2 linked regions of the Arabidopsis thaliana genome follow. The protein of the gene in region 2 interacts with the protein of the main gene of each other region in a pairwise test. Each region holds a gene or a part of one and is shown on either strand. Other genes may lie near its edges.

Evidence for each region.
Region 1: the proteins of IRT1 (region 2) and AT1G20110 interact in a two-hybrid assay, tested with the Arabidopsis thaliana proteins (one study listed by BioGRID).

Annotation. Positions count from the first base shown.
Region 1 is NC_003070.9:6,969,456-6,975,630, reverse strand, and holds AT1G20110 (RING/FYVE/PHD zinc finger superfamily protein), read right to left. Parts: upstream 4,208-6,175; 5' UTR 4,078-4,207; coding exon 3,073-4,077; intron 3,001-3,072; coding exon 2,914-3,000; intron 2,822-2,913; coding exon 2,690-2,821; intron 2,589-2,689; coding exon 2,457-2,588; intron 2,303-2,456; coding exon 2,237-2,302; intron 2,152-2,236; coding exon 2,041-2,151; intron 1,896-2,040; coding exon 1,803-1,895; intron 1,694-1,802; coding exon 1,660-1,693; intron 1,570-1,659; coding exon 1,502-1,569; intron 1,131-1,501; coding exon 1,053-1,130; 3' UTR 501-1,052; downstream 1-500. Other genes in the region: AT1G20120 (GDSL-like Lipase/Acylhydrolase superfamily protein), read right to left, coding at 1-127; AT1G20100 (DNA ligase-like protein), read left to right, coding at 4,932-5,012, 5,452-5,722, 5,812-6,175. UniProt on the Arabidopsis thaliana protein: Endosomal sorting complex required for transport (ESCRT) component regulating multivesicular body (MVB) protein sorting and plant growth. Required for the formation of intra-luminal vesicles (ILVs)in MVBs.
Region 2 is NC_003075.7:10,703,645-10,710,876, forward strand, and holds IRT1 (iron-regulated transporter 1), read left to right. Parts: upstream 1-3,699; 5' UTR 3,700-3,842; coding exon 3,843-4,430; coding exon of another isoform or gene 4,431-4,478; exon of another isoform or gene 4,479-4,515; intron 4,516-4,525; coding exon 4,526-4,675; intron 4,676-4,773; coding exon 4,774-5,079; 3' UTR 5,080-5,371; downstream 5,372-7,232. Other genes in the region: IRT2 (iron regulated transporter 2), read left to right, coding at 1-337, 435-584, 672-977. UniProt on the Arabidopsis thaliana protein: High-affinity iron transporter that plays a key role in the uptake of iron from the rhizosphere across the plasma membrane in the root epidermal layer. Acts as the principal regulator of iron homeostasis in planta.

The sequences.
Region 1 (6,175 bases), on a different chromosome or scaffold from region 2:
GAACTCGCTGTAAGCGGTTTGCTGAAGCATGCATCGTCAAGAGGAAGAAACAAAAGAGTGAGAGAAACAAAACACATCGAGATATTTTCGAACTAGACAAAGAACCAGAAACTCTATCTTGCAACATATTTGCTATATGATCTTATCTGTCTGATAAGTAAAAGAGAATTTTTGCTGTGAAGCTACAAAATATAAAGAGTGGGAGACTAAAGTGTTTTTCACTCAGAAAGAAAGAAAAAAAGTGGACATAAGCATGTGGTTTAGATGGTTATAAGAAGAAGATGCTTGTCTCTTACGACTCCTTCTCATTCACACACTTTGAACTTTTCTTAAATTCAGTTATCCATTACTAATCGCACTCTCATTTTCGTATTACCCTCTAAAACTATAAGACCACAGTTTCTACACTATTCTCTCAAAAGAAAAAAAATACGAGATGATTTTCCAAAAACAACTCGAATAAACACAGCCTCGACCCTCGAGAAAGAACAAGTGTGGACAAGAATATTAAAGCGTTTTATGATACTTAACCTAATTGAATCAATTGAATATGAAAGGAAAGCTTAAAAATTTGGTACACCATTGTAGCACAGTATTTTACACCATTGTAGCATTCATTGATTCGAATCAGAGGATTTGCAATTACCATGGAAGAAGACCAGGTCAACTTGAAACCGCTCTGTTTCGGTTCCAGGCGCAGTATAACATAACGTTTCAAGTGTTTGGACCTAATGGTAGTAAAATACATAATGAACAACGAACCGATTGGACTACATGTGAGTGGTCAGAGAAATTGAAGCAGGAGTAATGACATTGGAGGACTGATACAGTAAATTAACCAATCAGACATCAGTAGGACAACAGACTACATGAAAAGTATAAGATGTTCATCACTCAAAAGACTTTCATATACACACAAAGGGGAAACACCATCCACATGAGACAGGACAAGAACTTATTTTGATGTGATCAAACCCAATTCAATAACCAAATGAACCAAATCTCATACTTATAATTGATATATATGTCAAGCAAAAAAGCGGGTAGGAAGATCAATGTGCGCTAACGAGGAAAGGGTTTTGGCAAACTCCGCACTCAATGGTCTCTGATCCTGAGACTGGAACCTGGACCTGCAATTTAAATGGCAATGCTCTCATAAACGCATACTATCAAGAGACACTACAAACAAGCCAACTTCAAATTCCAATCTGCCTCGAGTTATCTATCAACTTGCTTTAACTATTTATTCAGATGATTAAGCGACAATCTCCATGATCCAATCTTAATAGAAAATCACATCGACCATATGTAACTGTTTAATACTAGAGGTCTCACGTAAGACATAAACATTTCTCTAGCTATTCTATTTCGTCAATGTAGTTTGCAAGATGATCATACACACTGACACAAGTGATTATGAGGACCTCCCTGTTTTCCTTATTCTAGAAAAAATTGGGTCCCAAAATCATACAACGAAAGACATGCTATCAAAGGATCTAACCTGTAAGTGCACAGTGCATGTTGGACAAGCTACTTCTTTCATCCGCCTCCCAGATCCTTCCCTCAAACCTGTTAGAATCATAGCTATCATTGTCAGCAACCATAAAATACCAGAAACAATATATCATAAACATAAGTATATTAGATATGAAAAATTACCAGACGAAGACTTGCGGTTTCTCTCCATTTCCTCCTGTATCAAACATATCCGCCATCAGAAAACAATTATATACTTTGCCCAAGATATTAACTCAACTTGTAAATCATTAAACTTAATAAAGAACCAAGGACGATTAGCTCACCTGTAACTTTCTAGCAAGGTCTTCATGGCTCTGCAGGCTCACATTCCTGCCAGTGGTTTCCTTGGCATTACTCAACCTTTGTGACACTTCTGCCTGCACATCCAGAAACAGATTGAACTTAGAGGCATACGCATAAAAGACAAGATACCAGTTCAAATTAACTTAAAGCTACATTCTCAGGAATCAACGGAACATGATTTCTCAACTTAAGGAAAAATAAACAGACAGATAAGCATACCATGCACCGGTCACAAACACGGACTTGAGGAGCATTATCCTCAGCAGTGAGAGCAATCCTGCCTTGAGTACACTTGTCACAGAAGACGTCACCACAATTCCTGCAGTGGTGCTAGAAAATAAAAAATCCATAAGGTTTGATAGTCCCAACATGGCCAAAAATTTAATTCAGATTGTTAGATCGGGGAAAATAATACCCTTCGTATAAATGCACCGAAATCTGAACCACATGATGTGCACTTAGAAACAGCTTCATCAGGTACCTAAAGCCAAAAATAACATGGAATGAGAACAACATACCACAGCTAAGCAAGAAAATAAGAATCAAGTGATGTAACTAATCACCAAAACTACCCTAGCCCTTTTACTTTGACTACAAGAGAAATGTGTTTTTCTTCCAAAAAAAAAAAAACCTACCCAATGATCTTTCTCCTCATTAACAGGCTTTATAATGTTCATCCAATCACCCAATCCTTTTTTCTTCTCAGCAGTTTGTTCAATCAGTTTTCCAGAGGTGGGAGGCCTGCTACTTCCCCCGATCTCCTTGGCCTAAAACCCACCAACATAAGAACATTGGATTAGTCAAAAGAAATCATGATGGAATTGACATATAGACTTTTAATGAAACAAAATTTGTAAATTTTATGAACCTGAAACATTGCAGCCGTCACAGTGTCCAGAAGGGTGTTGGTGGTGTAACTATTTGATTGCAATCTGATACGTTTAGCTTCAATGTCTACCGGAGTCTTAGACCAGAAAGCCAGAATAGACGAATCTAGTTTCTGATAGAAAGACATTTACAACAATAGATAAGACCTCCAGTCACAAAAATGGAACAAATTCAGTCATAAGAAGAAGGTAGATAATCTCTTACTTCGCATCTTGTGATGTTCTCAAGAGGATATATTCTCAAAGTTCGGCTAGTACTTGGATCAAGCATACGAAGACCATCCAAACCAATCTGCTAGCACAAAACCAATTCACTAAAACTAGTTTAGGTAACACAAAGTTCAAATTGAATTGGGGACATTACCTGACAAAGAACATCTGTTGTGGTTTGTCCATAAGTCTCAGCCAACAATTTGACACGAAATTTCTGCACACCACCAGTGGAATCTTCCTGCACATCAGCCTTAGGAACAGCTCTCACGATCTTAGCAGAATTCGAGCTAACAGAAGAATCTCTCCCTGAAGAAGAAAAGCTAATGGATCGTCCATAATCATCGAACAATGTTGAATTCGATGATTTCGGCGCAGTTCCACGAGAACCGTATGGCTCAACTTTGCCTCCTTGATAAGCATAAACGCCATCGCCATAGGAATCTTCAAAAGCAGGATATTCTCCGCTATCAGATCGTTTTCCGTATAGATCAGATCCTAAATCCGATCTGCTCCGGTTATAACCGTCATAACCAGATTGATCAAATTTCACTGACGGTTTCTCATACGAAGGAGGTATGGATGATCCTCCGCTACTATAAGGAGGTGCAGAGTACAAGGATGATGAATAAGGCGCGGGATTAGGATTCGGCGCAGGCGCAGATGAAGGAGGAGGCGCAGATGAATAGCCAGAGGTTTGATGCTGATCATACGGTGAGTAATACATATGTTGCGAGGTAGGTTGCTGATACGGAGCAGTAGAATCAAATGATCCATAAGAGGATAGAGGTTGTGGATGAATCGTGGGTGGAGGTGGTGGTTGGTTGAAGGTTGAATAAGAATTAGGGTTTAGTGATGTCGCCGGCGGAGAAGGAGGAGGTTGTGATGGTGAAGTGAAGGAAGGAGCTGAAGGAGGGACATGCTCAGAGTTTTGCCCGTAAGGAGTGTAATTCTGTGAATAGTTAGAGTAATCGGCGGAACCGTAACCGCCGGTGAACGGTGGCGCTGATGCGTACGTGTTTCGAGTAAGATCGGTCGGACCAGCTACGGTTGCCGGCGCCGGCGGAGAAGGATTGGGATTAGGATTAGGATTCGGAGTAGGATTTTGAAATTGAGAGTATTGGTGGTGATAGTACGAATTGTAATCTCCCTGTTGCATCGCTGAATCGGTGATCGTCGGCGATGATTTGATCAGATTATATCGGAAATTGGAAACGATGACGAAGATGAAGATGAAAGATAGATCGAGAGAGTCAAGGGAATATTTGGTGAGGGAAGGATTGTCTGTGCCGCGAACTTTTTTGTATATTTAATAATAATACACGTGGCGGTATAATGAACCGTTGATTAGAAGTAAGAGATGGTTTTTTAACGCGTGATGCCCACAGATAATTGTAGCTGTTTTTCTATGCAAGCGTAAGGAACCAAGTCGGACAAGAGACCCATTAATCACAAAGTCAATTAAAATTAATTATTCTCCTCGTATTAACATTGGGTTTTGGGCTTTTGTAGTTTTTGTTAAGCCCAATAATAAAGTTTGGAGTAAGAAAGACGCAAAGGATAAAAAGGGTATTTCAGATGACGTAGCAAACTCGGACCGAGCTTCACGGAGATGATAACGACTAATTGACGGAATAGCCCTTACAAATTAGGGTTTTCACATTATTCTTTCCAAAAACGTAAGTATAGCCCGAGTCGGCGGATCTGAGTGTTTCACGCGTCTTTAAATAGAACCTTACCCTTCACCATTATTTTCTCAACCGCAATTGGTTTTTTTCTTCTTTCTCTCTCTCTCATCGATTAACAAAATCGAATCGAAAAAAAAAATTAGGGTTCTTCTCTCTTCCGTCTCTCGTTATCGATTTCGTTTTGATTTCGCGCCACAAAGAAGAAGTTTCATTAGGCGCGAATCTGAAACCTAGGTTCGATTTAGTTCTGTCCGAATTACTGTCCGTTGTCTTGTCCGTTAGTCGATTCGATCTGAGAAAGAAAGAAAGAGAAGAAGAAAAAACGATGTCACGATATTTCACATCCCCACCGCCTGTGTATGCGAGGAACTGGGCGAACGGTCAAAACTTGGTCGAATGGACTAAGGTTCGTCGAGCACTCAATTCTTGTGATTGATTCGCTACGGTGTCCTCTTGTCTGAACATGGGTTTCTGTGTTCGGTCAGAGTTAAATTTCCTTATAATATCCTCTTTGTAGCCAGATCTCTAGGTTGCATATAAGTTATTGATTGGTTAAATTGTAGGAAAATATCTTCAGCATAGATCTATGAATTGAATCTACACTATACATGTTTTAGCATAATGAATTTCGTTCTTAACGATGTCGTGTAGACATGTATGTTAGTTTGGTTTGGTCTCCAATTATAAAGTCAACCATAAAGACGCGTTGTAGATATATGTTTTGAGTAATTAACATTATGTGTGTTTGTGGTTGAATGATGTTACCCACGTATATGGGTATCTGGTTGTTTGCCTGATAAATCCTTCCTCTAGTCTAAATCCTTTATTCTGATTGGATTATAAAGATCGAAAGACCAATAGTTGATTCTAAAAAGCTGCATCGGAAAGAGAAGAAGGAGAAAAAGAAAGAAAAGAAATTAAAGAAAGAGAAGAAATCCCTTGAACAGAAGTATTCCACAACCAAGACAGTCTCATATGAATCCGAACAGCTTGAGAAATCTTGTTTAACAGAAGAATTTGAGCAACCTCAGGTTGGATATTTGTCTGATGGTAGCCAGAACAGTAAGAAGAGAAGAAGGGAAACTTCTCCTGCTGTTGTTGAGAGTCAAATCAAAGGTTTGTGCTTTGTTTCTTCCCGGATTAGATGAATATCTTTATTGTGTTTGAATACATATACTGAAACAGAGACGTTTAATCATTTGCAGCTACACCTGTAGCTGGTAAACCACTACGGATTCGTATTGTTTTCAAGAAACCGAAAGAAGCTGAAGCTGTACCTCAAGAGGATCCTGTTTGTTCCACTTCAGGGACTCAGAGACCTAGCGAATTACCAAGTTCTGTCTCTCTTCCAAGTATCTGTGATCATGATGTGGCTGTACCCTCAACTTCTCTTGAGAGTGGCAAGGTAGCAATTATTTCCGAATCAAAGAAGAGAAAGAAACATAAGCCTAGCAAAGAATCCCGGTACAATTCATTGTTTGATGAATTAGTTCCTCCCTGTATTTCCTTGGAGGAAGATGATAGCAGCAGCGATGACTGGCTTTTTGGAACAAGTCGGAAAGAAAATGT
Region 2 (7,232 bases):
TTCTTCTGGAATCATCCTTGGAACCGGTTTCATGCACGTCTTGCCTGACTCTTTCGAGATGTTGTCATCGAAATGTCTTAGTGATAATCCGTGGCATAAGTTCCCTTTTGCGGGTTTTGTCGCTATGATGTCCGGTCTAGTCACTCTAGCCATTGACTCCATTACCACCAGCCTTTATACCGGTAAGAACTCAGTCGGACCAGTGCCTGATGAAGAGTATGGCATTGATCAAGAGAAAGCGATTCACATGGTAGGCCACAATCATAGTCACGGTCATGGTGTAGTGCTAGCAACTAAAGATGATGGACAGCTTTTGCGCTACCAAGTCATTGCCATGGTTAGTACATATGAAAATACTACAAAACGGTCTTGAGTTCAAATCATAAATTAATATGTATAACCATACTCAAGCTATTTTTGAATACCATGAATAGGTATTGGAGGTTGGCATTTTATTTCATTCTGTGGTCATTGGACTATCTCTAGGAGCAACTAATGATTCATGTACCATTAAAGGACTCATCATAGCTCTTTGCTTCCATCACTTGTTCGAAGGCATAGGTCTTGGTGGCTGCATCCTCCAGGTACGAATATACATTCATACTATATAGTTTATGTCTCTTATATCAATTAGAAATTTACGTTCATATGTATATAATTTATGTTAACAGGCAGATTTTACAAATGTGAAGAAGTTCTTGATGGCATTCTTTTTCACTGGAACAACACCTTGTGGTATCTTTCTTGGAATCGCATTGTCGAGTATCTATAGAGATAACAGTCCAACCGCGTTGATTACGATTGGACTGTTAAATGCTTGCTCGGCCGGAATGCTCATCTACATGGCCCTCGTCGACCTTCTAGCTACCGAGTTCATGGGGTCAATGCTCCAAGGTAGCATCAAACTTCAGATCAAGTGCTTCACGGCGGCTTTGCTTGGCTGCGCCGTAATGTCGGTCGTCGCCGTGTGGGCTTAAACACTCTTTCAACATAATCAATAAATTATTTGATTTATTATTCAAGGCGACAAATACTTTCGCCTTTGTATATTTGAGTTTTTGTTTTTAAGTTTGATTCATTTATTAGTTTGTATAGTGCATGTAAGCGTTTGAAAGAAATTTCTTTTTATGACATTGTAAATTTATTTTTATGAATGCGATGTTTACTTTCTTCTTTGGAATGACATGTATTTAATTATTGGAGTTTGTTGATTGTCAATGTTAGTTAGAAAAAATTAGGTCCGAAATACTAGTGACACGGAAATTAAAGCTATATGAATTAATACTATCAATTATATTTAAAATTACTCTCTTCAAGAAAATGTACATACAGTCTCTTGTTTTAATAAAGAAAAATTTCTTACTTTGGTTAGATTTAAATTACACAATATTTCATGACAACTATTTAACCATAAAAACTCGATAATGTACTATATCTAACACATAATTTGTAGGTGTGAATGGCTTAAGCTAAAAAGCTTATAAATTCTATGTATTTCATTCCATTTCATGGTTTTTTGGTTGAAAACTTTAAGTACAATAACAGACTTACTAACTAATTTGTAAATTTCCACACATGTTTTGATTCCATACACCTGGAATCATATCAAATACTTGTAAATTCTGAACCTATTGAAACAAGTTGAACCATTTCTTTCTAAAGATTAAATGCATTATCTTGAAGTATAAGTTCTTAGAACATACTATTAAATAACTTTGAATAGTCTTCAATTTTACTAATGCCTTAATCAAGTTTTGAAATTATCTTTTTCAAATCATACACACTTCATCCTGACAATTGTAAATGTTTATAGTTTTTAGAATAATTTTTACTATTTTTTTTAATTTGTGTCAATATCTGATTTGGTTTGATTCTAGACTTCGTTTGTTTTCTCAAATTGTGCAAGTAAAAAACACGAATATATCTATTTTTTATTTTATGTTCAGAAAAAAAAAAATATATATATATATATATATTCGTGTTTTTTACTTGCGCAATTTGAGAAAACAAACGAAGTCTACAATTAAGCGAAATCACACATTGACACAAATTAAAAAATATTTCTTTTCTCGACCGAAAAAAGAAAATTATTTCACCAATATGGAAAATCTCCCCAAGTTCATTCTATTTTCTGTATCAAAGTTAACGAATAGACATATAAGCATTTTGTCACGTCGGTGGAGTATGAGTTTGGCACGTTTTGTTTCGTGCTCGTCCAACCATATGAAAACGTGGGAGGTAAACCACTCAACTAATAATATTATACCTTTAAAAAAACTATATTATAAATCCAGTTTGATGCTTATTTTATTAATCATTCTTCAAAGAAATAAAACTTAAATAGTGAAAATTATAACCGAAGTTGACTAGTTAGGAGGCATGCCATGGAATATTGGATACATACTCGGCATGGACAGTATTGAATATACAGGATAATGTAGATAACTATATTTTCTATAATTTATTTTGTGTCAACTATTTTTTCTATGATTCTGATGATTAATTGCATGACAATCAATCAAATTAATTATGCCTTCTTCTATATAACCATGCAAAACCAAAAAAAAAAAGATTATTTCGAAACGACATGAGAATCAAAAGAACTCATAAATCCTAATAGACATGAAATTATGTATACAGTTATAACATTGAAATATCTTAATACCTTACCTAAAAGATAACTAGATTAATAACCATAAAACCAATAATCATTAAGTCAATAACCCCATAATCTTATAAATGAAGTCAGTGACTATATGTTCATGTAAAAATGCGTAAGTTCATAGCTAGATGTCCCTTTTTTAGGAGCACATGGATTGACACATTAAACATTCATACCCGATTTCATGGAATTCTATTTGTCATTATCCTTTCCCAAAAACTTAGTTGTTTCTTAGTTATTAAACCTTGAAAAAAAATCAATTCAAAAATGAAAAATGACTTATATGTATGTCATTTTTGAAAACTAGACATCAAGCTATGAAAAGAGGAATCTATTTACCGAATAAAGGAGGAGGAATCTACATTCATATGTAGTGTTTTTGGTGACTGGATTGCAACCATACACTGAGCACAAGCTGTCACGTGTGATGTTGTGCTCGTAGCATAAACTATAAAGTATAAACCTAATTAAGCTTAAAGTTAAAAATAGTACAAGATTAAAAAGTAAACGTTTGTGAGAGTTGACTAACAGAACTATAGAAGACGCATGGGGTTGACTTCAAGCGGTCTGCAAACGGCATGAACAATGCATTCAAACGATAATATAAACCTTAATTCCAATATAGCCTTTTTCAAATTTAAAAACTCGAATGTTTACGAAACTATAACTTGATAAAACTGATTGAAATAAAATGTACTTACATTTTTTTAATAAAATATACTTAAATTTTTTAAATAAAATATACTTTAAAATATACTTAATTTTTTAAAATCATACTATGGATTTTAAACAAAATAAATTGTCACTGAGTCATATTTCTTTGGATAAAAGAACTTTACATAAGTGATTGGTACAATATAATAATATGCAAATTTAAGACATTTTATTAAGTTTATATTATCGTTTAAATGCATTTTCTATCAACTTAATAAAATCTAGCTAGGTACTTTCATAATTCTATCATTATTCCTTTTGAACGATTAATTACTTTATTTTCTCGTTTCACACTGGAAGCAAACGAGTAATCAAATAAAATTTCGTCATCATCGACAATAAATGGCATGAAAACAACCAGCACACATTACTATATAAACCGATTCATCTAGTAAGTCCAAAGTCACACAAACATTAAACAATCTAAACACACAACAATCCAAAAGAAAAAAGAAAAAAAAAAAAAATGGCTTCAAATTCAGCACTTCTCATGAAAACAATCTTCCTCGTACTCATTTTTGTCTCTTTTGCAATCTCTCCAGCAACTTCAACTGCGCCGGAAGAATGTGGAAGCGAGTCAGCGAACCCGTGCGTCAACAAAGCTAAAGCTTTGCCTCTCAAAGTCATAGCAATCTTCGTAATCCTCATTGCAAGCATGATTGGTGTTGGAGCTCCTCTCTTTAGCCGTAACGTTTCGTTCCTCCAACCAGACGGAAACATCTTCACTATCATTAAGTGTTTCGCCTCCGGGATCATCCTTGGAACCGGTTTTATGCACGTTTTACCTGATTCTTTCGAAATGTTGTCATCTATATGTCTTGAAGAGAACCCGTGGCATAAATTTCCTTTCTCCGGATTTCTCGCTATGTTATCGGGTCTAATCACTCTAGCCATTGACTCCATGGCCACGAGCCTATACACCAGCAAGAACGCAGTTGGTATCATGCCCCATGGTCATGGTCATGGTCACGGCCCCGCAAATGATGTTACCTTACCAATAAAAGAAGATGATTCGTCAAATGCACAGCTCTTGCGATACCGAGTCATTGCCATGGTTCGTACGCACATATATACATACCGAATATCATTGTATTTTAAATGACATATTACCGAATACATAGGTATATCTAACTTTCTACGGATATATAGGTCTTGGAACTTGGGATCATAGTTCACTCGGTGGTCATTGGATTATCTCTAGGAGCAACTAGTGACACTTGCACCATTAAAGGACTTATAGCAGCTCTTTGCTTCCATCAAATGTTCGAAGGCATGGGTCTTGGCGGTTGTATCCTCCAGGTAAATATACTTTAGATAAAAGAAAAAAAATTATCTTTAGCCAAATGTTGAAATTGTATATACAAATATGAAACATCTAATGTTTAAGATAATTTCAGGCTGAGTATACAAATATGAAGAAATTTGTTATGGCGTTCTTTTTCGCGGTAACAACACCATTCGGAATAGCGTTAGGGATCGCTCTATCAACTGTTTACCAAGATAATAGCCCAAAAGCTTTGATCACGGTTGGACTTCTAAATGCATGCTCCGCTGGATTGCTCATTTACATGGCACTCGTGGATCTTCTAGCTGCGGAGTTCATGGGACCTAAGCTTCAAGGTAGCATCAAAATGCAGTTCAAGTGTTTAATCGCGGCTCTTCTCGGGTGCGGTGGAATGTCGATTATCGCCAAATGGGCTTAACTAATACTCCAGATATTGCGGAATTGAAATCATGTGGATTTCATTATCGAACTAAAACCGTTTTAGGTTTACGTCTCGATTCTCTATCGGTTTTTTATCTTCTCTTACAAAAGATTTGCGTGGATCTATCACATTTTAAGGAACATGTCTTTTGGTAGATATGTAAATGTGATAGGCCCCACGATTCATAGTTTTCTTTTGTATCTTCCTTTATTTTGTCAAGGCAGTATAGTTCATATCGTGTAATGTTTTTGCATCTCATATAAATAAATAAAACTTTTGCTGCTTTTTCAAGATAAGTAAATTAAAGAAAAATATATATTATTTTACTTTGTAATCTATATTCGACAAATCTAAATACCAATAATTGGAACTTTAATCACAATCACGTAGTCTATAAATATACTTACTAGCTTGGCAATATTGTCAATCACTTGCATATCGTCCCATACTGCTTTAAATCTCAAATTTATTTTTGAGTATTACTAGGCATTGATATCCTTGTAGTTGATTTAAGTATATAATTTAAACAAGTTCTCTAACCGGGTTCTGTTGATAAAATCAATATGTCTACCAATTGAACCAATACCAATAAATTTTAGTCTTCGCTTGAAACTAAAGTCAAAGTTCGAACAAACAAAATCAGATACATAGTCGAAGTTTATAAACTTTATATGCAGATTCAGTCGATTTCCAAAAGCGCTGGTTTTACTTGGAAAATGTATATCTATCGACCCATTTATGAAGGCTCACTTGATTTGGGTACGGGCATTACTTTCAGCCCAATTATGTGTCCTTCTAACAAAAAACTTATCTCCACTCACCTAACTCTATCTTATTAGTGAGAAGGCATCCTACATTGAGATAACAGCTCGGATTGGTGAAGAGAAGAACCAAACTCGAGCTGTGATCTCAATGTAGGATGCCTTCTCACTAATATATCTCTCTATTTAATCTATGTATCTGTTTTACATTGGTCACTAAACTATGTAACGTACCATTTTCATATAAATATGGTTCTCGTGAACCATATTGTCGCTTCTCCAATTATAACATTTCCATGCTCTGGATTGAATCACATAGGACATGAACATAAGCCTCTTGTACATTGATGTTCCTCTTTCTTAATTTGTCATCCTCTTCATGACTATGAGTATGATCATGACCATTGAAGGAAGTGAAGAAAATACATCATTCATCAGTGAAGCAGTATGTTTATAGCTTAGTTATAAGCATTTTAGAGTCTCAAAACTTCACAATATTGTGCTTTAACTTTAACATTTTCCAAATTTATGCTGTAATATATGTATCGTTTTTGGGTGACCTACATCTCGAAAAATATTGAAGTTTAACTGTAGATTCACTTTAATTTTACTTGGTTATCTCATTCTTCTTCTAATGGAGTTACTTAGCCCCCATTCCCCAACATGGTCACCTCATTTAGGTTAATTTATAAAGTTTGAGGTGTCACAATATGAATGGATTTACATAATTCAGTATTCTTTTAATTAAGATGCTGGTGGGATAAAGAGGAACAATATTATCAAGGCTGATTTGTTCATACTTCATACTCATGCAGTCATATAGCTAGGATATTTCCATGGCTCTTCTCACTGTTTTCTTTTGTAGGATATTTTCTCTGACTTATGTTTTCGTCAAAATGTAGGTTTACGGTAGAAAAGTCCTATCAAAATTTCCGTTCTAAGAGTTGTAAGATTTCATCATTTGCATGATTTTTTTTGTAGTGTGCTAGTTCATAAACAAAACCAAAATCCAACAAATTATAGCCACTCTTTATGTACCGTTACATTTTCATCCAAATCCAACTAAATGTTTTGATAAACTCAAACTAAAATATCTATTATTATTGTTATTGACTTGTTTCTAATCTAAATTTGATTTGGGAAAATAAATAAGATACTGGATTGAGACATGGTAATCGTTTCTTGGACGCGTTCATTGTAACTCGTGAATTCATCACATCGTCGTATTCATCGTTTTGTCTATACATGCAACGCACATGATATGACCCAATCTAATATATTTATTGCACGACAACAATAATGACTATGCAATATTTTTAGTCGGATGGAGAAATATGATTCTTTTTTATTCATATATCTTGTGGACGGTTGGAATACACGTAAGATGCT